6 linked regions of the Solanum lycopersicum genome follow. Each later gene encodes a partner of the first gene's protein in a complex. Links are inferred from orthologs where the notes say so. Each region holds a gene or a part of one and is shown on either strand. Other genes may lie near its edges. The genes, in order: protein TIC 55, chloroplastic; protein TIC 20-v, chloroplastic; protein TIC110, chloroplastic; protein TIC 22, chloroplastic; protein TIC 20-II, chloroplastic; protein TIC 40, chloroplastic.

Region 1 (4,231 bases):
ATATGCGCAAGTAGGCATTTATACTTAAATAAAACTAAACAAATAGACACATTCGTCCTACGTGGCACCTACATGACAATTTTGTGTCCTACGTGGTCTCCTACATGTATTATACCATATAGGACACATGTGCTTGCTTGTTCAATTTTATACAAATATAGATTCATACTTATGCACACGTTGGAGGGTATAGTTGTCTACTGAAATCAAGTTCATATTCATGTGTTATGCCAAAACTAAATTCTAAGCTAAAAACTTTATATATAAATAGTATAAACATAATTTGTTATCAATTATCGATTATCTCATCTAAAGAAAATCTTACACCATTAAAAATCAATAATCTAATATAAGAAAAAAAAAAAGATCTCGACCAATTGTGTATTTCAATAATTAATATTCTAATTACTAATTATTAATACATTTTTATCTTTACCAAATAGAGTAATACTTTATACTAAAAGCAAACCATTTATTGTAATCCATGTTGAAATAATTAATGAGAACTTATCTAATTTGGTATGGTTAACCTACTTTGACCTTTTCTTTTATATGTTGTTACTTTGTTCTTTTATTAATTGTTTTTAGCAAGATATTTTTGCTAATATATTTAATTTACACAATTTATGATATGCTTACTCAATTAAAGGAATAAGAATACCCACTCTGTCTATTTTTATTTGTCATATTGCGTTTTTCGAAAGTTAATTTAATTAATTTTTAAAGTTAGATTAAATTACGTTAATTTAATATTTTTTTTTAAAAAAATAGATATTCAAAAATTATACGAAAAGTACTATAAATTACAATTTTTTTGCATATCAATATGATACAAATATACATCGTAAAATATTGGTAATCGTTTTTATAGTTTGACTCTAAAAAAAATCATGATGTAAGGATTAGACATGGATAAATTCTTTTCAGTTTATAGTTTATTAGGGTTTTGAACAATTTATTTTACGCATATTAATAAAATCTATTTGTTAACACATACAAAATTTAGACAAAAGCTACTAGGTTCTATCGAACTGATAACAAATATTTACTTTCACCTAAGTATTGAATCATGAAAGGAACAAAACGTCATATATGAAACTTATTTTTTCTGCTTTTACCACTAAAGACATCTATTTTTAAGGGCATAATATATAAATATGTTCTATAATTTGGCTTCGAATCATATTTATGTCCTTCAACTTTGGGTGTGCACAAGCAGACACTTAAAGTTGAATAAATAGACACACATATTCTACATATCATTTTTTATCCTATGTGTATTGTGTTATGTAGGACTCATGTGTTTTTTTATTTAAAAGTTGGACAGTTAAAGTGTTTGTTTGAACATTATGAAAGTTGAAGGTCAGCGTTAAAATTTGAAATCAAATTTAGAATCCAATATATATATTATGACAATTTTAATGGTAGATTATATCATGTTGATAGAAGGCATCTTTTTTGGAAATATTGTAGATTGAGACACAACAATTCTTTGTATTTGTGTGGCTACCATTGGTTCAACAAAACAAGAAGCAACACAAAGGTCTTCTACTTCAACATGTCAACAAAAACTACAAGTGTCTCTAATGCATCCAACTCCTTTTTCCTCCCAAAAATCACTCACAATAATGGCTTTACAACAACCATTTCTATCTGAATTACTACTCCACTCATCTTCAATTAGAACAACACTCCCCAAAAGTTCACTTTTTTCTCTACAAATACCTCAAAGATTCAATCTTTATCTTCAAAATAAGCAAATCAAGAAACAAGGAACAAGTTGTTATGCAATTGCTGAGAATCTTGAAGCTGAGGATCAAAGTTTGATTTTGGAAAATTCAAGTTTAGATGAGTTGAGGGGACAAAGGGAAATTGTTGGTTATGATTGGACTGAAGAATGGTATCCTTTGTATTTAACCAAGAATGTACCTAATGATGCACCTTTAGGTCTTACTGTCTTTGATAAACAAGTTGTTTTGTATAAAGATGGAAGTGGTGAACTTAGATGCTTTGAAGATAGATGTCCACATAGGTAAAAAGAACATACTATATATGTTTGTGTTTTCATTGTCTCAGTTCAGTGTACAAAGCATCTCGATATAAATAGTACTAATTAAACGTATAGGTCACACAGAGATAACTTTGTTTGTTCAAGAACTTAGTATTTTAGCATGATCTTGTTATGCATAGACATTTCTTTTTTACTTGTTCCTTATGTAGTTAAGTGATAGCTAATACATTATGTAGTTGCTTAATTTCTCTTGATTAGCTAAAATCTATGTTTCGTGTAAGGGACAAGTACAAGAAGGGAAGTAGGAAGAATCGATTTGTAGCAACTACGATTTGAGTTACTAGTCGTTGGAAAGTCTCACAAGACGGATGAGCTCCGTTTTTTTTCATCATACTATGGTGGAAAAACATCTGTTTTTTCCAATACCTATAGTGATGTATTTATATGTATAGGAGGAGGACAAGTTAATGGTCTACTTAGCACCTCTTATGGATGGACCTAACCATAGCATTTTCCAATGGCTTATGTGGTTCGAGTTGAAAGCAACGAGTTCAAGCAGAATTTACCCTTCTCTTATTGTATCCTCTTGAAATAGCTCAAATGAGTGTAATAACGTACAACATTTTCCTCTTTAGTTTTGGTCTTGTTAAGCTGCTGAATGTTAACTGATTTTTCCGCGTTTCCATAAGCTCATAGTGATTTAGAAGTATTTTAGTACATGTTGTGTATTTTCAGGAATGAAGCTTGATATGAGTTCGATTCACGACAATGTATAACTGTCAGTCTGTTATGTTTTAATTCTTCATATCTGTTGATAATGTGTGAAGTAATCCTCCTTTAGTGTTCCCTGTTTTTCCCCCCTCTATCTGGCATGTATCTCTGTCTATCTATTAGTTTTGACGGAGCAACAAAGGGCTGAATCTCAGTGGTCCGTGACAGTAAGGCCACTCTACAACTTACATTACCCCGTCTTGTCTATCCATTAGTTAAGGATTCAACTAAACTGACTTCCAGATTGTCGCGAGATCAGTACCTCTTTCTGCTTTACTTCTATGCATTTCATAACAGTAACTCCGGAATCGTGACAAATTTCTTCTGAATTCAGATTGGCCAAACTCTCCGAAGGGCAACTGTATGATGGCAAACTGGAATGCTTGTATCACGGTTGGCAGTTTGACGGAGATGGTAAATGTGTCAAGATACCACAGGTTGGTTTTATATATGCATTTTCGTTTATGTTTCGTGTTGCAAATGTAATGTTATGCACTCTATTTTCATTTCCGTCTTTGATTTTGTTCCGTCCAGCTACCTGAAAATGCTAAAATTCCTCGATCAGCTTGTACGAAGACATATGAAATTCGGGATTCCCAAGGAGTAGTCTGGATATGGATGTCTCATAGAACACCACCTAATATTAACAAAATCCCCTGGTTTGAAAATTTTGAGAGGAAAGGATTTCGAGACATTTCTACTATTCACGAGCTCCCTTATGATCACTCTATTCTTCTCGAAAACCTTATGGATCCTGCTCATGTCCCGATATCACACGATAGGACAGATTTTACGGCGAAAAGGGAAGATGCTGGACCACTGTTTTTCGAGGTGACAGAAAGGACTAACCGAGGGTTTGCAGGGTGGTGGGGTAAAGAAAGAGATCAAGGCAAAGCAAACTATACTCCGAACTTCTTACGTTTTGAATCTCCTTGTGTTCTTCAGAATAATAGAGAAATTGTTGATGAGAGTGGGGAGAAGCATTACTTTTCGGGTCTTTTTCTTTGTAGACCATCTGGACAAGGGAAATCGATGCTTATTGTTCGGTTTGGGAATACAAGAAAACGAACCGGGATACTTAAATTTATCCCAAACTGGTTCTTGCATCAGAATGCAAGCAAGGTTTTCGAGCAAGATATGGGGTTCCTTTCGTCCCAAAACGAAATCCTAATGAAAGAAAAGGTTCCAACAAAGAAACTATACTTGAACCTTAAGTCGTCGGATACATGGGTAGCTGAATACAGGAAGTGGATGGACAAAGTGGGGCACGGAATGCCTTATCATTTCGGTCACAGCACCATTTTCCTGCCTCAACAACCTGCTGTCGTTGAGCACGCCCCTGCTGGTTTCGTTGCCAATTTTTCAGCTGCTCAGCCAGCTAAAGGAGGAATCGGTGGAATATATGCTCCGAACCCTGCCAACAGATACTTCAGACATGTTGTACATTGC
Region 2 (2,870 bases), about 61 Mb from region 1:
AAGTAGAAGAAAAAGTAAAAAGGTAAGATTTGATCCTGATTGTGTTGTAGCAATTTTTGAGCTTGGTATGGTATTTGAAAGTGTATACATAATTTTGTTCATTTCTTACTCTACTATATAAAGTCTCATTTTAAGATATTTCTATGCAGCTGGTACTTCAGGAGAAAAAATTATCAATTTGAGAGTTTATAAGGATGCAGCTCCAACAAATATTGATATTGGTTATAAGCCTCGAGGACTCAAGTGGAATGGTGGAGATGCTGTCACTGGTTCACAGTTGAAACAAATCACTTATTCAAGAAAAAACAAGCGTGGAACATCTAGTGCACCAAAGAATGCCTAATTTATGTAGAAAAATCACTTTTTGGTTGTGTAATTAGCAGCAGAAATTTGTATTGACTGCTTGAAACTTGAAGCTCACTAGAGCAAATTAATGGCATGAATGATCAATTTTTACTGCTTTTGAGGCATAAATTATCTACACTCCTTCAATTAAATCATTACAATAAAAACACAAGGCATTTACAATAGAAAAATCGATCAAAATTGTCCACAAAGAACTCTACAATCTACCATACATACTTTTATGAAGGAATCTAATTGAAGACAAATGAACCAACTAAGATCATTTTGTTACACAAATCCAAGTAGCCAATATCATCCCTACGATAATGCATATCATCCATATTTTTCTTGATCGATTCCTCTCCAATTCATATGTTTTGACTATTTTCGACAAACCCCATATCACCCTCCTAGCTTGAGCAGGCATTTCATCATCATACCATCGAAAATATCCACATCCACCTCGTGCCTACAAAATTAAAGAAAAAAATTGAATTATAAATAAGGTGATTCTTTACTATATTGGACAAAAAAAAGTGAATTTGATTTACCTTTGAAGTTTTGCAACAAAGGAATATACGTCCAGGATTGGATTGCGTCCATGAGATCTTCATTTTCACAACGTTCCCATATTGACATAGTACTTTCGCAGTTAAAGAAGAAGAAATCGATGAAGTAGATAAATTTGACATTGAAACTTGATGATTAAAAAGAAATCAATGAAAAAGAGATATAATATAATGAGCTAAAGAGGAGAAATAATGATGAAGAGAAACAAAAGAGGAGAAATAAGGGAAGAATGGGAGAAATTAGGATTAAAAGGGGGAAGAAAATCGTTGGTGGATGGTTCAAGATCCACATCAGCGCTTTTAAAGCGTCTGCACACGCTTAAAGGACGTGAGATCACGTTTGGCTCCACATTAGCCAAGAATATTTAAAAAGATCAAATTATAGGGGGTTAAAAGATTCAATAGGAATCTAGATTAGTTGAGGTAACTGGGAAAAACACGAACAACTTTAAAGACTTGCGTATGTATTTGACCCGTAGACATTTTTCCTCCAAAATGGATATGGAATTATGGATATTCAAATGGTATCAATGTAGCCCGACCCGCAATTCCATCAGGATTTTCAATTGACTGCTGACCTAATCCAATTTCCCCTTTTTCATTCTTTCTCCCCCCCAAAACAAATATCTTTGGCCATCCTCAACAATGGCCATCACCAATCTTTTATCCACCACCATTACACTCAAACACTCGCCATTTCTTCTACTGAAACCCTCAACAAAACTCAGAAACCCTAAAAGGCCAACAATTCGAGCTCAATCTAAGAACGACGACTCAGTAGATGGTCCAGATCGTTTAATCTCCGCCATAACTTACTTCTACCCTTTCTTTGATGGTGTTCAGTACGGTAAATATGTAATCACACAGTTTGCTCCAATACAAACACTTATTCAACCTTTAGTACCAGCTATAAGGGTTTTTAAGAGCTTTCCGCTTAACGGGTTGTTGGTTTTCTTTACACTCTACTTTATTGTTGTAAGAAATCCTAATTTTAGTAGATATGTCAGGTTCAACACTATGCAAGCTATTGTTCTTGATGTGCTTCTCATTTTTCCTGATTTGTTGGAGAGGAGTTTCAATCCAAGTGATGGGTTTGGGTTGGATTTGATGATGAGCTTTGATAGTACTGTGTTTTTGTTTCTTTTGGTATCTTTGGTTTATGGTACTTCGTCTTGCTTGTTGGGTCAGCTACCTAGATTGCCTATTGTTGCTGAAGCTGCTGATAGGCAAGTGCTATGAACTCGTAATTTTACTTGTTTATGAGGTTTCATCCTCTTTGTACACTTAATTATGTTTTGCTTTAGCTGACAATTAATATCTATTTCGTTCCGAAAGTAAATGTTTATGCTCTTTAGAGCCTTGTTCATGCATATCATTTTGCTGTTTCTTAATGTGGATATGTATATTCTTGTAATGGCATTTCGGTTTCTTTAATCAAGTAACTACTTTTTTTCTATGTATCTGCATTAACAAAAATATATAGAGGTATTTCTTTTTTATAACCGTAATGTCCTGGCGTACACCTCAACTATTTCATGGAATATCTTAACTGGAATTGTTCCAAGTGACTCTGCCCACTACAACTTAGGCAAATAGAAGATCTTATTGCCTCTGCATAGATTTGCACTTTCGTGTTGTGTAGTTTCGTTCCAGCTTCATGGACTTTGATGGCTTGCCATTGAGTGCCACAAAGGTGGTGATATTATCTACAAGTTCTGTCATTTTTTGATATGAAGATAGTTCAATCCCTATTTCTAGGTAACATGTTAGTTACATCACCATTCTTTTTTTTGGTTTTTGGATGAGGTAACATGTTACATCATCGGTATGTTGGTGTTTAAGGAAGAAATTCATGATCCTAGTAGCCAGTTGTATCATGATTTTAAGTAAGGGTCTCGTTTTGTATTATCTTGAAAAGGGCAAGTATGCAGAGATACACGGAAGTTAGGTATCAGG
Region 3 (3,981 bases), on another chromosome or scaffold:
GACATTTAGATGAGTCCGAAAGAAGATTCTATGCATAGATGCTTTGAGATCAAAGATAATTAACGTCAATGAAGATGACTTAGCATATTCATGAATTTTCATCTCTATAAAGCAGCACAATCACCCATTCCAATCCCCGCATCCCTACATTGCTTGTTAACTCTTGGATTCATCTATATTTTAGTTCAATTTCAATAATTGATAACCTAAGCTTTATATTAAGTTGATTGTATTATCCACCCTATTGTTCTTACTATTACAAATGTGTTAAATTAAACTCCAAATTTCTTGATAAGGAATTCTCCACTATATATCATTCCATGTGGGATTCTATCCGTACTTTTCGCTAAGTTTTACTGATAGTGATTTGAGCGTTATCAGTCAACTGCTGCTACTATTGATTAGTGACTCTTCATAGTTCGAGGGCTAGGTCATCACTGGCTTTATCGTTTCTAATCTTTTCAATTTTTAGATATTATTCGTGGCGTAGAAGTTCATGTTCTAGTCACATTATGATTAATAGAGGACTTGTCAAACATAGACAATGTTCCATGTATTCCCTTATGTACTATGTTGGTATCTTTTATGCCATTGGTAGATTTACAACTTATATTGATTATATCTTTTGGATTGTCTTTATTATGTCATACTCATGTCAAGTAGTTTAATTTGTTTATAGCCTCTTGGTGTTTCATTCGCCATGTCGCGCCTAGGGATACTTTGCATCGTGACAATTTTATTTATTTTCTTGATTTTTCTTTTATATGTGTACTCATAATTTTATTTAATTAAATTAGCTTATAAATTTAATTTATTTAGAAAGAGTTGTTTGTTACTAAATAAATTCAATACAAGTCAATGCAATATTTAAAAATGTTAGTTGTTTAACATTTACTAATTGAAAAAACAAATATATCATCACATGACATTTTTGATCTTAGTTGTATGTATTATTTGTTGATATATATATTTTCTTATTATTTTGTTGATTAATTTATAAAACTACATACATATAACGAGTTTTTGGCCAAAAACATATTTTTATGTGTAAACTACTTTGGTTTATACAATTTTAATATCGTTTATCGATTTACAAATATAACAATTCATTGGTGTTGAAATGCGGCAAATGACAAATAATATTATGTTGACCCAATTACAAGATAATAAACCTATGTTATTCCAAAAAAACAAACAAACCTTTATTATTCAACTTGTACCCCCTCAGACCCCTATCCTCTTCTTCTTCTTCCTAGTTCCAAACTCCGGACGACTTGGTTAAACCCTACTTGAACATCAACTAGTTATTAGAAGAGGTAGTAGATATGAACCCATCATCACTTCTCCTCCCTATCAATCAACCTCCTCCTGTCAACACTTTCCGCTCTCAATTTCTCAATCCTACACCTCTCCGTCTTACCCCTAAATTCTACCTAAAACGCCGCATTCAGTCCACCGTCATTTCATCTTCATCTGCCTCTCTTCAGCACAAACCTACTTCCGTCAACCCAGATGTCTTTGGAGGTAAAAAGGAACTTTCTCCTATTCAATCCCTTGTTGATGCCATGTCACCCCCCATAAGAATAGCCAGCTCCGCTTTGATATTTGCTGCTGCTATTGCTGCTGGATACGGTCTTGGTCTTCGTTTTGGTGGATCCCGGAATGCTGGGCTTGGTGGTGCTATTGCTTTTGGTGCTGCTGGTGCCGGCGCTGCTTATGCATTGAATTCTTGCGCTCCTCAAGTTGCTGCTATTAATTTGCATAACTATGTCGCTGATTTTGACAACCCTGCTGCCTTGAACAAGGAAGATATTGAATCAATTGCCAATAAGTTTGTCCACTATGCACATTTGGCTTTTTTTTTTTTAAAAAAAAAATATATATATGTGTTATCAGTGACTAATTAAATTAGATACCAAGTGTGAGCAAGTTATTCTCTACTGCAGAATCTTGGACTATTTAGCTACATTATGAGCTCTCACACCCAACTTTCTCATACTTATTTTTCTACGTCTTTTCCTTACCAATTTACTGCTTTTTATCTTTAAGGTATGGTGTCAGCAAACAGAATGAGGCATTCAATGCGGAGCTGCGAGATATATATTGCCGGTGAGTGCAAAATCAAGTACTGATTTCTTAAAAACTCTTACGGCTGACACGAAACTTGCATTTATTACAATTTTTCAATGTTATATGATAATCTCTTTTTTTTCATTTTTGGTTTCTTCTCCCTGACTCTCGAATGACAAATTTTTCTTTTTATGAATTGCTTGCTTGGATATAAATAACTAAATTTTACCCTTTGAAGCACTTTGTAGGATAAAGTATGGCTTTTGCACTTTGTAGAATAAATTTATTGTTCTTCCATTCCCAAGATGTGTCCCAAAGTGTGTCAAGTTTTGCAAATCAAAAAAAGAAGGAAAATACTGTCACCTTTCTGGAATTACAACTTCTTCCACATACTTTTCTAGTTTTCTATAATATTTTAGTTCTTTATGACCCAGAAAGTGTCAAATTTTCTAACCTTGTCTTGACATATTGACCCAGTTACATTTGAATGGAAAACTGTCCATCCTGTTGTGATACTTGTCTTGGACACCTAAAGGGAATCAAGCATAGTGTTTCTCTGATCCATTTATAATGTTTATCTTGAAATTTGAATGTTTTTGACTATTTTATCTACCAATGACAAGGAATGACTAACTTGGTAGTTTAAACATTGTCAGCTTATCTACCGTCACATATGCATCCAATTTTGTTTGTGTTCAGGTATATATCTGCTGTCCTTCCTGCTAGTACTGAAGAACTTAGAGGCGATGAAGTTGATACAATAATCAAATTTAAAAATGCATTGGGAATTGATGATCCAGATGCAGCAGATATGCATATGGAGGTAACTTGAAGTATCCATCTGATTCTGTACCTAAGAGTTGTAAAACTTCTAGCTGTGGTTGGCTCAAAGTTAAAATGTTATGTTATCAAATAATTTACCAAGTATTAAGAAACTCTTACATGTTGATCTCTCAGATTGGTAGGCGAATCTTCAGGCAAAGACTTGAAACGGGAGATCGTGATGGAGATATGGAGCAACGTCGGGTGGGTCATCTCTTCAAAAAGCTTCAGTTTCCAAAGACTACTGCCTTAAGTTATCGAATAACAACAAATGGAACTTGATCATTTTTGACTTCTCCAGGCATTTCAGAAGTTGATATATGTCTCAACTCTTGTATTTGGAGAATCATCTGCTTTCCTTTTACCTTGGAAACGTGTTTTCAAGGTTACTGATGCCCAGGTAGCGGATTATTTATCACTCTCTCCCTCTTTGTGGAGTATTCAGATTGTGCAGTGGCATGTCCTGCTTGTGTGGTTTTAACATTTCTGTATTTTGATTTGAGGTTCCTGTCATTTGTCTCTTTCCCTGCCCCCTTCATTTATGTAATATTAGATTTCTATATAGTGCGACCCCCTGTGTCCTTTTACTCGTTTTAACATTTTTGCCATTAGGTTGATGTTGCTGTCAGGGACAATGCACAACGGTTGTATGCCTCCAAGCTTAAGTCTGTTGGGCGAGGTAAGTTTTCTCTATTGATGCCTTTGAAGGCACTTTTACTTCTAACGTAACCTATTCATAGGAAACCATTTTACTAGTTTTCTTTTGCATACCTAATTAAACTAATGCTCTTCCAAACTACTTGTCGATATTCTTGGGTATGTTTTCTAAAATTTTCGATCTCTATTAAACTGATTCTAATAAATCTGTATATGTGCTTAAATTTGGCTTTTTTGTGGTATGTGGTGCTTAATCCTGAACAAAGATGAATCATACCATGAGGCTCCACATATGTGGCATGGGTTTAGTATGTTCTATTCATGCACTGAGTAGAGACTTTTTTGAAGTCTTTCTGTCGCTTCAAATTTCTTTGCATTTTAGTGATATATCCTATTGGTTTATGGGTTTTGAGAGCCTTCTGACGATAGCTC
Region 4 (4,138 bases), on another chromosome or scaffold:
TAGTTGGTTAGAGTTATGCATTGATATCTATTAGTAATGTAGTGATTATTTATGAATTAGTCGATCCATTATTTTATGCAGATATGAGTTATTCGTGTATTAGTTATCCATAAGACATACATTAGATTATTAGAATTAATTATTCCACTTTCTATTATGCATTAAATAATAAATAGATTTCATCATAAGTTATACATGTATTAATTGTGCAGATTTCTTAACTGTCAACTAAACATTGTATTAATTTTGTACATGTATAATTTATTTTCTATGATTTTATCCACCTACTAAACATGTATAAGTTGTACAAAAATTAATATGAGTAACTTGTTTCTCATCCAGCTTCCAATCACTTATATACATGTAATTATTTTCATTATTTGTGTCTATGTAAACATAATTTGACATGAGATTGAAGTCTCAGTCTAATAGTTACAAGTAACAACTTTAACTTGCATGTAAATGCCAAGTCTAAAAACAATATGCGTACGAATATATGTTTTTCAGGTCATTAGAAACTTTTTATGTACTATCGAACAATAATTTGGTGAATATAAAATGGAGGTTATTTGAGTTAATAAGCTTTGATTATTTTTTTATTGTTGCATCTTTGTGGTTTATACTAGGTCTTACTCCAACTAAATAACTTATGAAACAATGCAGATAAGAAATTAATTGTGTCAACTTTGTACTATACAAGTTACATGAAAATTAATTGAGAAGTCATCCCTATATTTAATTACTTTATGGAGAATCGAAAAGGATCAAATTTGTTTTTGAACTATGCAATTAAAACAAATTTGTCATTCATTACTATGAAGGTCAAATATGTCCTTGTCGTTACTAAAATGGGCTAAATTTGCCCTCGTTACCCCTCCTATTCTATTTTACAAGCACGTAGTAATAAACAAAGATCTCAAAAGTTTATTTTTTAATGAAAAAACACCACACTTGGCTTCAAGTTGCTTGATCTTGCATTTGATGTTTGTGAACAAAACGACCAGATATGTTCAAATTTGACCTCAATTGGCAAGTTAACACTTTAACTTTGAGTATGCACATCTAGATACTTCGACTCATCTTTAGCGTCCAGCTTTGTAAGTAATCATCTAGACACCTCTAAAATTTACATGTCACATCAGCATCAAGTGTCCACGGAAAATAGAGGGGTTGTTAGTTGAGATCAAATTGAGTTCAATAGATATTTTTACTTAATAGTTGAGATCAAGTTTGAGTGTGCCTATTTATATCTTATGCCGATATTCTTTATATAATATTTGTATATAAACTAGACAAACGAGACTATTATATATTGTGATTTGTGATGGATGGGCCTTTAGTAGATGGATTAGTAATAATAATAATTGGACCTAATGTGAACCGAAAGCCCAAACTTGAAATACGAAAGCCTTCTTCTCCGAATCCTCTTCCCCTTTCTCTGTAAACAATCAATGGAGTCCAAACCCTCAAGCGGATTCGGACCCTCCAGTAGTCCTCTACTGTCTCTCTCCACCTTCGTCCACCAGCACTGCTCCCGACTCGGTGCTGAACTCGCTAACCGATTCGACGAAGCGAAACGGCTGAGTTCTAAAATCGCCGCCGATTTTATGCAGCAGCCGCTGCCAGCGGCGATAGGGAGGAGTTGTTCGTTGCCGTTGCATTCTTATCATCTATCTCTTCCGTTCGCTTCGGTGTCGCAGCGTCAAGAGAAGGTCGCTAAAAATACCGGTTTGAGCTCGGATTATGTTGCTAAGACATTAACTGGAACTTCTGTATACACAGTTAGCAATTCTAACAATGAATTCGTGCTCATTTCGGACCCGAATAGTGCGAAGTCAATCGGATTATTGTGCTTCCGTCAAGAGGACGCCGAGGCATTTCTTGCTCAGGTGAACTTCATTTTTTAAAATGAATTTATCGAATTTTTTCTCTATAGAAGAGAGTGAAAGGAGAGATGAACTCCTTTATCAAAGTAGGGTAGCAGGAAGGGGAAAAGATATGTATAAATTAGCCCAAAAGAGAAAACTAAGTTAAAGATGATTGCTTTAAAAGAAATTATTGGGTAATTATCATTGGAACATTGCCTTCAAAGGTCAAATTATTTATTTTTGGGATGTATTGAACCTGAATATAGTGGAATTGATACATAAGATAGCAGATACAGAAGACATAATGTGGACCTTATTAGTTTGCAATTGAGGCGTTGTTATAGAAGTTTTGATATACATGGAAGGCTTGTTTGTGGAGAAATGAACACGTGAAGATTTTCAGGTACGGTTGCGGAAGAAGGAAGTGAGAGGTGGAGCTAAGGTAGTTCCGTTGACACTTGATCAGGTGAATTTTTGTTTCCTTTTGCTAGGAATTTTTCTTTTAAGGATGTATCTGCTTTGGTGATTATTTTCTTCTTTCCTTTTAAAAGTTTGTACATTCATTTGAAAAGAATTGCAAACTTTAGGAGTGACATTAGATTACTCTATGGAGAAGGCCATTTTCTTGTTTTAAGGATTGAACTTTAGCAAAATTTTAGTACCATGAAAGTGTCTGGTAATAGATATGGTATTTGTGATGGACAGTTTTGTCTCTAGTGCTTATCAAGATTGGTTGGTGGAAAGTCAGAAGCTACTGATGATCGACTTGTGTGTATATGTACAATCTATTTCTTTGCATATATTGATAACTTCTTCTTGCAAGAATGGGTATAAACTTTGATGGTTATTGAATCGTCCCTTATTAGTTAAAGAAGTGTTGGATTCAAATACAGCAGAATGGAGATACCGATCCTAACTTGTTTAGATTGACACATAGTTGATTGATTGAATCAAAACAGAGCATGCATGGTATTTAGCATAAGCAATGGAGTCTTTTCAAACGCACCCCTTGAGATAAGGCTCGATTAGATTACCTGACCATCTCAGGTTAAGATTAATTTACTGAGCCATTTTCCTTTACCATTCCTTTTAGTGATTTCTTCTCTTTTACATCATTAAGATAAATTGTATGCATTATTGATACATTTTGTATCTCTTGTTCATCCATAAAAAAGGGGATCCTATCGTGCTCCTTTTGAGCCTCAGACGTCTGATCTGTCCCGTTTAATATATCTTCTTCTGCTATTAAATTAAAAAGAAAAAATTGAAGCTTAACTTAAGAATGAAAGACATTTTTGTCTCTATTTAACAGGTCCAGTGTACATTAAATAATCTACTGCAACTAGTTGCAGTTGTCTGTATGTGCAAGAATTTCTGTTTTTTGCTTTTCCATTTCTTCCTAAAGGTGTTGCCAGGCACTTGTCCCGTATTTTGAATAGTTACACGTCTTTCTTGTTGGTATCACTTTGCAGGTTTACATGTTGAAGGTTGAAGGAATCGCATTTCGTTTTTTGCCAGATCCTGTTCAAATTAAGAATGCAATGGAGGTAGTTACCCATGTTGGTCATCCTTAAGTTTTGTGTCTGGGATCCTTGTAATTTCCACTGAATGTAGTAGAATTGCACAAGGACGCCTGTTCAGTTGTGCAAGTGAAAGTTATACTGTATATGTATATTCATCTACCTGTGATAGTTTTACGTGAAAGTACACTGGCATGTAGCTTTAACTAATGACCAGATTCCAGAGGTGGTAGAATTGCTTGCAACCCATCAATTTTTGAGGTCCACTGACATACCCTTGTTTTTTCTTCTCTTTACTGTTAATTCAAATATTTCCAAAATGGAGGTCTTTTCGAGATTTGAACTTGGGTTACTGACATGCCTGGTATGTAGGCTCTTGCTCACTAGTCTAGTAAATGAAGCATAGATTATTAATGGCTTGACCTCCATTGCCACCCAACTTCTGTCTCCTCCTCCTGGAAATATCTATTTGGCTAAACATAATATTTCAATGCATGCTTATTAAAAAAATCTGTTCATCTCAACATTGTCTTTTCCTGTGACAGTTAAAAGCTTCTGATGTAAAGACTGGATTTGATGGAGTCCCTGTTTTCCAGGTAGCATATAAACTTTTTTGCCAACTGTATGCAAAAAAACTCTAACATTACATGCTCAGCCTGTGTATTTTTTGAATTATGAGCCTTCACTCACTGGAAAGCTTTTGCTAAATATTTTGTATATCAGAGAGTGGACTGCTGAATATGGTTAAAC
Region 5 (2,628 bases), on another chromosome or scaffold:
TTCCTTCAGGCATTTGTTACTCAAAGATTGTGGCTTTTGGATCTTCCGAGAAGTTGCCTCATCGATAAAGGCCAGCGAATATAGGAAGTGAAACTGGAAAAAGTATATTGAGATATGTTGATATATCTTTTTTCAAATTATTGACCTACATTATGGCAATATAGTGTAAGCTAGTCCTGACTACAGTTTTGTATACTGCCACCCAAATGTTTTCATGTGAGAATAGTCACTTCAAGTTGCATTGTAGTAGATTTGGAATTTCCACAGTGTTGTTTTTGCTCTCATTTTGTGACGACATGCTTCAAACTTTCTTCGCAAGGTACGGGCAAGGTTGTGTATACACCATCCTCCTCAAAATCTTATTTTTGTCTCATAAATAATGAGCTACTCGGAATAATGTAGCGATGGTCCCTTTCTCTTTGACATGAACTTAGTGAAACTGAGTTCTCTGCAAAGATGCGGTGTAGCGAATGTAGGGTTGTTCAAAATTGATCGGAACCGATATTCCGTATCGAAAAAAAGTTATTGGTTTAGCGGTTTTGAGAACGGCTTTGATTTTTTTTTTGTTATCGGGTTATCTTTTGAGGTTATCTCTTAACTGGATAACTGATAATCCGATGGTTAATTAAATAATTATATTCATATCATTTTGCTTATAAAGTCCTTAATTTAGAGTTTGGTTTCCTACTTTTGTTTCTGATTGTCTCAAACACTTGGTTATTCTACGATGTAAAAGTGTTTGCTTTTGAGCAAGATGAAACTTGTGAATTCATGTGCATGGTTAAATTGGTTTGCCACCTTGTTCTAAAGTGATTTTCAATGTGTTTTTTTGTCAAACTTAACGGTTAAATAAATTATCGAACCGAACGATCAATAACTGATAAGCTAATCTTAATGGTTCTACAACCGTTTAGCATATCTACAAATCGATAACTAATAAGTCAAATCGATAAACTTCAAAGCCGAAGTGTTCGATATGTAGCCCTAACTGAACGGATAGACGATAAGACCCTATGTACCTCAACTATAACTTAAATGTGTACGATAAGTTAGAGATGGCAACACACAACAATCAATTGATTAATCCTGAACTTCACAACAACTTTAATCGAATGTACAGATGAGAGGTGGCAACACATAACATAACAACCAACTGACAAAGAACTTCACACAATCTTAATTGAACCTATATGATATTTGAGAGGTGGCGACGCACAACGAGCTATATTGAAAATTACTCGTTGATCAATCAATAATCCGTTGTAGTCTAGTTGGTTAGGATACTCGGCTCTCACCCGAGAGACCCGGGTTCAAGTCCCGGCAACGGAAATTATTTTTTTTCTAATTTTTTAATCAAAATAATGCATTACAACTTGTACCTCAAACAACAAAAATCCATCTTTATAAACACCCAAAAAAAACCTCACATTTCCCCTAAAAATGGCTTCCATTCCTCTTCTCCGTTTCACTCCCACTACTACCCCTCGTCTTCTCCCCCACCCTCTCAGCCTCAATTTACTCCAAACCCGTATTCAAACCCGAACCCGTATCCATACCAAACCCACCACTTCCATCTCCGCCTCTTACAACCCAATCCCCGCCACCGACCGCCTTATCTCCGCCGTCGCTTACTTTCTCCCCTTCTTCAACGGCCTTCAATACGGCCGTTTCCTCTTCGCTCAATACCCAACCCTAGCTCTTCCATTTCAACCAATTCTCCCTCTTCTATCACTCTACCGGTCCCTCCCATACGCTAGCTTTGTCACTTTCTTTGCACTCTACTTAGGTATTGTTCGGAACGAGAATCTGAACAAGTACCCCCGGTTCAACGCCCTGCAAGCGGTGGTGCTCGACGTTCTACTGGTGCTTCCGATGTTGATTCAGAGGATATTTTCACCGGGTCAATCGGGTATTGGGCTGAAATTTACGGTTTGGATGCATAATGGGCTTTTTGTGTTTGTTGTGGGCTGTTTTATTTATGGGCTTGTTTCTTCTATACTTGGAAAAACTCCTTATTTGCCTTTTGTTACTGAAGCTGCTAATAGGCAAATGTAGTTCTTTTTAAAATTTATTTAATATGTTGTTTTGTGGTTTTCTCTAATGAAAGGAAGGTTTTTGTTGCATAGAATTGTAATTTTAATGTATGATATTTTAAATCGAATCGTCGATGAGATGTTTCTCCATGAGAGATGCAATGGAAAGGGCTCGTAAAGTTCAAATCTTGATAAAGTAACTTCTTGGGATAAATAATAATATCTTGATTTTGTAATGGAATCATTACACGTTATACTTCACACCGAACAACTCGTAAATGTACTAGTAATAATGGGTTTTCAATAATACATTGTTTCTTTATCAGCTATCAAACGATCTCTAAGGAATATCAATGGCTTTTGTTGAATAGAGAATATAATTCCTTTGCTTATATCAACACTTTTCAAGGTTTGGTCTACATGCATATCATACATTGTCCTCCTCAGATCCCACTTGTGGGATTACGCTGACTATGTTGTTTCTGTTGTCGTAAGTTACATTGTTAAAGGGTTGAACTTCAACAAAGAATAATAAAACTACATTTTGTTCATCATGCAAGGCCAAAACCAGAATACTATCATTGACCAGAAAAAC
Region 6 (3,500 bases), on another chromosome or scaffold:
AGCCTCTTGACATTTACCTTTGAATAGACCTTGTTAATGTCATGCTTTGATCACCCTTAACGTTGGTTTATCTCAATAAACTGAAGGATACTAGAGTATATCAGTGAGATAATTAAACTATTTTAAATGAGTGAGCTCACCACTAAATTTTAAGATTAAGCAATTTAGCTGTTGATCTTAAAAACACCAAAACATCAACCATCTACATAACATTCTTGAAGGAATTTGGAGTGTCATGATGTGATCCTTTGTGATCTTCTGAGCTTTTATATGGAAATTCATCTTTTCTGTTCTTTCTTATTTTCAAAGTATTTCTCACCCAAAACCACTTGCCATCTCTTTCATGCATAAAGTCACTATCACACAATATTGCTATGCTGGCACTCTGCAAGGGTATCCCCTAAGTTTGAATTAAGAAAAGTGTAATCCCCCCAAGTCATAGCCATTTTAATCCTAAGTATCCCTAGAAATCTAACCTCCTCATGTATCATTAGAACCCCTTGCTGATAACGGGGAGGGGAAGGCTGGTTTGGGAGAAAAGCTTACATTGAAGTGCAGGGAAACCCAATTTAAATAAAAGGAATGAGCAGGAGGAAGGTACCACTTCAATTTCTGTGAGGTTAATTCGTTTCAAGTATTTAACAAATTTTTATTTGTGTCTCGATCATCAAAAGTTTTTTTCTTTTCTTTTGCTAATCAAATAGATTACTGGCCTGACTTCCACAACAGTTCTTGACCAAAGCTAAGTTTAGACTCCACTAATATCCCAGAATAACGATCTCCTCAAAAAAGAATAGTAGGATGCTTTGCGGAAACAAAACTGATTTGTAACTTGTATCCTCCTTTGACATCTTTCTTAAATGCCAAGAACCATCGTGGACCAGTAGAAATTAATACCTGGGTTTAGTTGTAGTGGGACCTGAGCAGTTTTGTTCTAAATCATATTTACAAAAATGCTAATGCTTCCCTAGTTAGAACCACCTTTTTGCGATAGTGATACACTTTGTATTACTCTTATGAAATGTTCAGATTTTCTGGTTATGAACTCATGATATTAACTATGTGAATTAAACTTTTTGCAGCTTTTGTTGACATTTCTCCTGATGAAACATTCCAGAAGGGTGCCTTTGAAAATTTTAAGGACTCAGCTGAGACAGCTTCGGTAACTGTTGATCAGGTCGGTTGGTAGCTATTATCTGGGAATATGGTGTCGTTAGGGGTGTCAAATGGGCGCGTTGGGTTGAAATTGGAGATATTAAATGGGTTGAAATAGATATTGGGTTTGGGTCCTGACCCGCCCAAGTTTACTTTGGGTTCCAATGGGCTTAAAAACAGGTTGAGTCTTGACCCACCCAATTTTTCCCGCTTAATTCAACAATTTTAATGTATTGTTATTTAAGTTATATAACTACAATTTGAATTTCAACTAAAGAAAATTTTAAAAAAGAAGTGACAAATGGATAGATAAATCCGATAAGATATAAAATAGATAGTAATCCATACCTTTAATATAGGAACATACATTACAACAATGCAAATAAAGAGTCTTAAAACGGGTTGAAATTGGAGATTAAATTGGCCTCAATTGAGGATTCTCTTAAATGGGTTAGGACTTGAATGGGTTGGGATTGAATTCAATTGAAATTATCTTGTGCCCAACCCTCAAAATTATGGGCGGGTTACCTACAATTGTGCTCAATTTTGACACCTGTAGGTGTCGTCTAACAATTGCACTTCAATAATATTTTTTGAATCTCTATTAGGTAACTCAAAATGGAGCTGCTTCACAGTCGGGATTTGGTTCAAATACATCTGACAGTACCTCATCAACGGGTAAATCACTTGCTGGTTGGCCCTCATAGCTGTTGTACTACGAATGTCATTCAAGCATCAGGATTGGATGCATGTTCCTATCTTCTTACTCATGTTTTTATTGGTCATTTTCCTCTTTTCCTTCTTTTTCAATCATTATTTCTATGAGTTTATGAATCTTGCAATAGATAATAAAGATGGATTCATGGACATACTTCATAGCTACGTAGATCCTCCCTTTTAGCCTATTGGGTGGTTTGGAGGATGTGGTAAGCTGTGAATCATGCCCAAGGTGGTTAAACTATGAAGTGCATAATGCCCAACAAAATGAAATGAGGTTGTATGTTCCATAATCTGGTGGGGAAAATACATTCTGGGGTCTTTTTCTATTTAGGAAAAAATGGGGAGAAAGCCCAGTTTCTTGTCCAATTGCAGTATGTTTGTAGCATAATATAGATACGTAATGGTATTTTGGTGAATCTCCAGGGTGTAAGACTCCAAGAAATGGCATAATGTTAGTACTTTTTGTGTTTTCAATGCTATCCTTTTGAGTCCAACAAAAGGCTAAAGGCCGCATTATCATTGTAATGCACACATATGTATGTACAAATAAAATTTGGAAGTGGGTAAAAACTTGAAGTCAATAATCCATGTTGTAGGAGATATTGCATGAGATACAGACAAATGAGGTTCAGAAAAGAAAGATGAACATCCAGACAGAAGCTGTGACTTTGTAATGACCCGAATATTGTGTCCCGACTCCTGTGGGAACTTGAATAGAACTTCCTACATCCTAAAAAATGCTAAGTGCTCTAGCAGACATGTTTTACGAAAGAATGGCCTATTTCTTACAGATTTCATGGAACTCTCTGTCCATAAACTTGTTTTGAGGTTGGAGGTTTTGAGTGATAAATAGTCCAGCTTTATTGGTCATATCTGTTTATTAGTAAAATGTTGTGTGTAACTTTACTTGGGCCTAATTCTCCTTCATGCTTTCTTCTTATGAAAAAACAAATTGCTTCATGCTCTCTTCTCTCAGCTACAAGTAATTTTGCATGATCTGCTTTCTTGAACAGGAAAATCTAATCCTCTATTGTCGGTGGATGCTCTGGAGAAAATGATGGAAGATCCAACAGTGCAGAAGATGGTTTACCCGTAAGATAGCATCTACCTTTTCTGTTATATTCTATGAGTTGTGTTGGATTATCTTGAATATTTGCTGATATCTTTGATCACTTAGCATTCCGATTTATGATAATGGAACTCTAGTTTCAGTTACACCATGTTACTATGTACTGTGTTATAAATAAAATTGTATTGCACTTCTAATGGAATCAAAATTCTTTTGTTGAGATTTAGTTTTGAACCTCTCTAAAGCATTGCAGGGAAAATGTCATTCCATCAGTACTGTGTTTAATTGAATAGGTTTTTATAGTATGCTGTAGACTACTGTGGTAAAGATGGAAGGAAGTGAACTAATATGAGATTTGGGATGCTTAATTGATGTTTTAAAGAAGATTTTGGATGGACTCAAGAGAGCAGGACTTGGAGCATTATACCTTATTTCAGACAGATGGTAGGTAGTTAGTTGAAAATAATAAAGATGTGGAATGTACTTTTGAGAATGACTGGAAAAGTGTAATTAAGGTAACTTCGAGTTAATTGGCTAATGTATAGTCCTTATTAGA

The links.
Region 2: protein TIC 55, chloroplastic (region 1) and protein TIC 20-v, chloroplastic share a complex: the UniProt entries of both Arabidopsis thaliana proteins name them as parts of the tic complex. The link is inferred for Solanum lycopersicum from reciprocal best matches to the Arabidopsis thaliana genes TIC55-II and Tic20-V.
Region 3: protein TIC 55, chloroplastic (region 1) and protein TIC110, chloroplastic share a complex: the UniProt entries of both Arabidopsis thaliana proteins name them as parts of the tic complex. The link is inferred for Solanum lycopersicum from reciprocal best matches to the Arabidopsis thaliana genes TIC55-II and TIC110.
Region 4: protein TIC 55, chloroplastic (region 1) and protein TIC 22, chloroplastic share a complex: the UniProt entries of both Arabidopsis thaliana proteins name them as parts of the tic complex. The link is inferred for Solanum lycopersicum from reciprocal best matches to the Arabidopsis thaliana genes TIC55-II and Tic22-IV.
Region 5: protein TIC 55, chloroplastic (region 1) and protein TIC 20-II, chloroplastic share a complex: the UniProt entries of both Arabidopsis thaliana proteins name them as parts of the tic complex. The link is inferred for Solanum lycopersicum from reciprocal best matches to the Arabidopsis thaliana genes TIC55-II and Tic20-II.
Region 6: protein TIC 55, chloroplastic (region 1) and protein TIC 40, chloroplastic share a complex: the UniProt entries of both Arabidopsis thaliana proteins name them as parts of the tic complex. The link is inferred for Solanum lycopersicum from reciprocal best matches to the Arabidopsis thaliana genes TIC55-II and TIC40.

Annotation. Positions count from the first base shown.
Region 1 is NC_090811.1:67,626,382-67,630,612, reverse strand, and holds the start of protein TIC 55, chloroplastic, read left to right. Parts: upstream 1-1,431; 5' UTR 1,432-1,586; coding exon 1,587-2,032; intron 2,033-3,116; coding exon 3,117-3,219; intron 3,220-3,316; coding exon 3,317-4,231. UniProt on the Arabidopsis thaliana protein: Involved in protein precursor import into chloroplasts. Part of the redox regulon consisting of TIC32, TIC 55 and TIC62.
Region 2 is NC_090811.1:6,212,382-6,215,251, forward strand, and holds protein TIC 20-v, chloroplastic, read left to right. Parts: upstream 1-1,483; 5' UTR 1,484-1,559; coding exon 1,560-2,153; 3' UTR 2,154-2,370; downstream 2,371-2,870. UniProt on the Arabidopsis thaliana protein: May be involved in protein precursor import into chloroplasts. Not redundant with TIC20-I, TIC20-II or TIC20-IV.
Region 3 is NC_090808.1:26,785,271-26,789,251, forward strand, and holds the start of protein TIC110, chloroplastic, read left to right. Parts: upstream 1-1,181; 5' UTR 1,182-1,325; coding exon 1,326-1,831; intron 1,832-2,049; coding exon 2,050-2,109; intron 2,110-2,769; coding exon 2,770-2,893; intron 2,894-3,027; coding exon 3,028-3,096; intron 3,097-3,193; coding exon 3,194-3,292; intron 3,293-3,504; coding exon 3,505-3,571; intron 3,572-3,981. UniProt on the Arabidopsis thaliana protein: Involved in protein precursor import into chloroplasts. Forms a voltage-dependent cation-selective channel at the inner envelope of chloroplasts, which specifically responds to a transit peptide.
Region 4 is NC_090803.1:65,447,896-65,452,033, reverse strand, and holds the start of protein TIC 22, chloroplastic, read left to right. Parts: upstream 1-1,338; 5' UTR 1,339-1,451; coding exon 1,452-1,889; intron 1,890-2,271; coding exon 2,272-2,334; intron 2,335-3,340; coding exon 3,341-3,415; intron 3,416-3,933; coding exon 3,934-3,984; intron 3,985-4,138. UniProt on the Arabidopsis thaliana protein: Involved in protein precursor import into chloroplasts. Imported into the intermembrane space via the Toc translocon. May be involved in the import pathway used by proteins without a cleavable N-terminal pre-sequence.
Region 5 is NC_090810.1:3,715,883-3,718,510, reverse strand, and holds protein TIC 20-II, chloroplastic, read left to right. Parts: upstream 1-1,403; 5' UTR 1,404-1,440; coding exon 1,441-2,055; 3' UTR 2,056-2,128; downstream 2,129-2,628. UniProt on the Arabidopsis thaliana protein: May be involved in protein precursor import into chloroplasts. Not redundant with TIC20-I, TIC20-IV or TIC20-V.
Region 6 is NC_090810.1:11,546,921-11,550,420, reverse strand, and holds part of protein TIC 40, chloroplastic, read left to right. Parts: intron 1-1,082; coding exon 1,083-1,177; intron 1,178-1,763; coding exon 1,764-1,833; intron 1,834-2,888; coding exon 2,889-2,967; intron 2,968-3,500. UniProt on the Arabidopsis thaliana protein: Involved in protein precursor import into chloroplasts. Part of the motor complex consisting of a co-chaperone (TIC40) and a chaperone (HSP93) associated with the import channel (TIC110).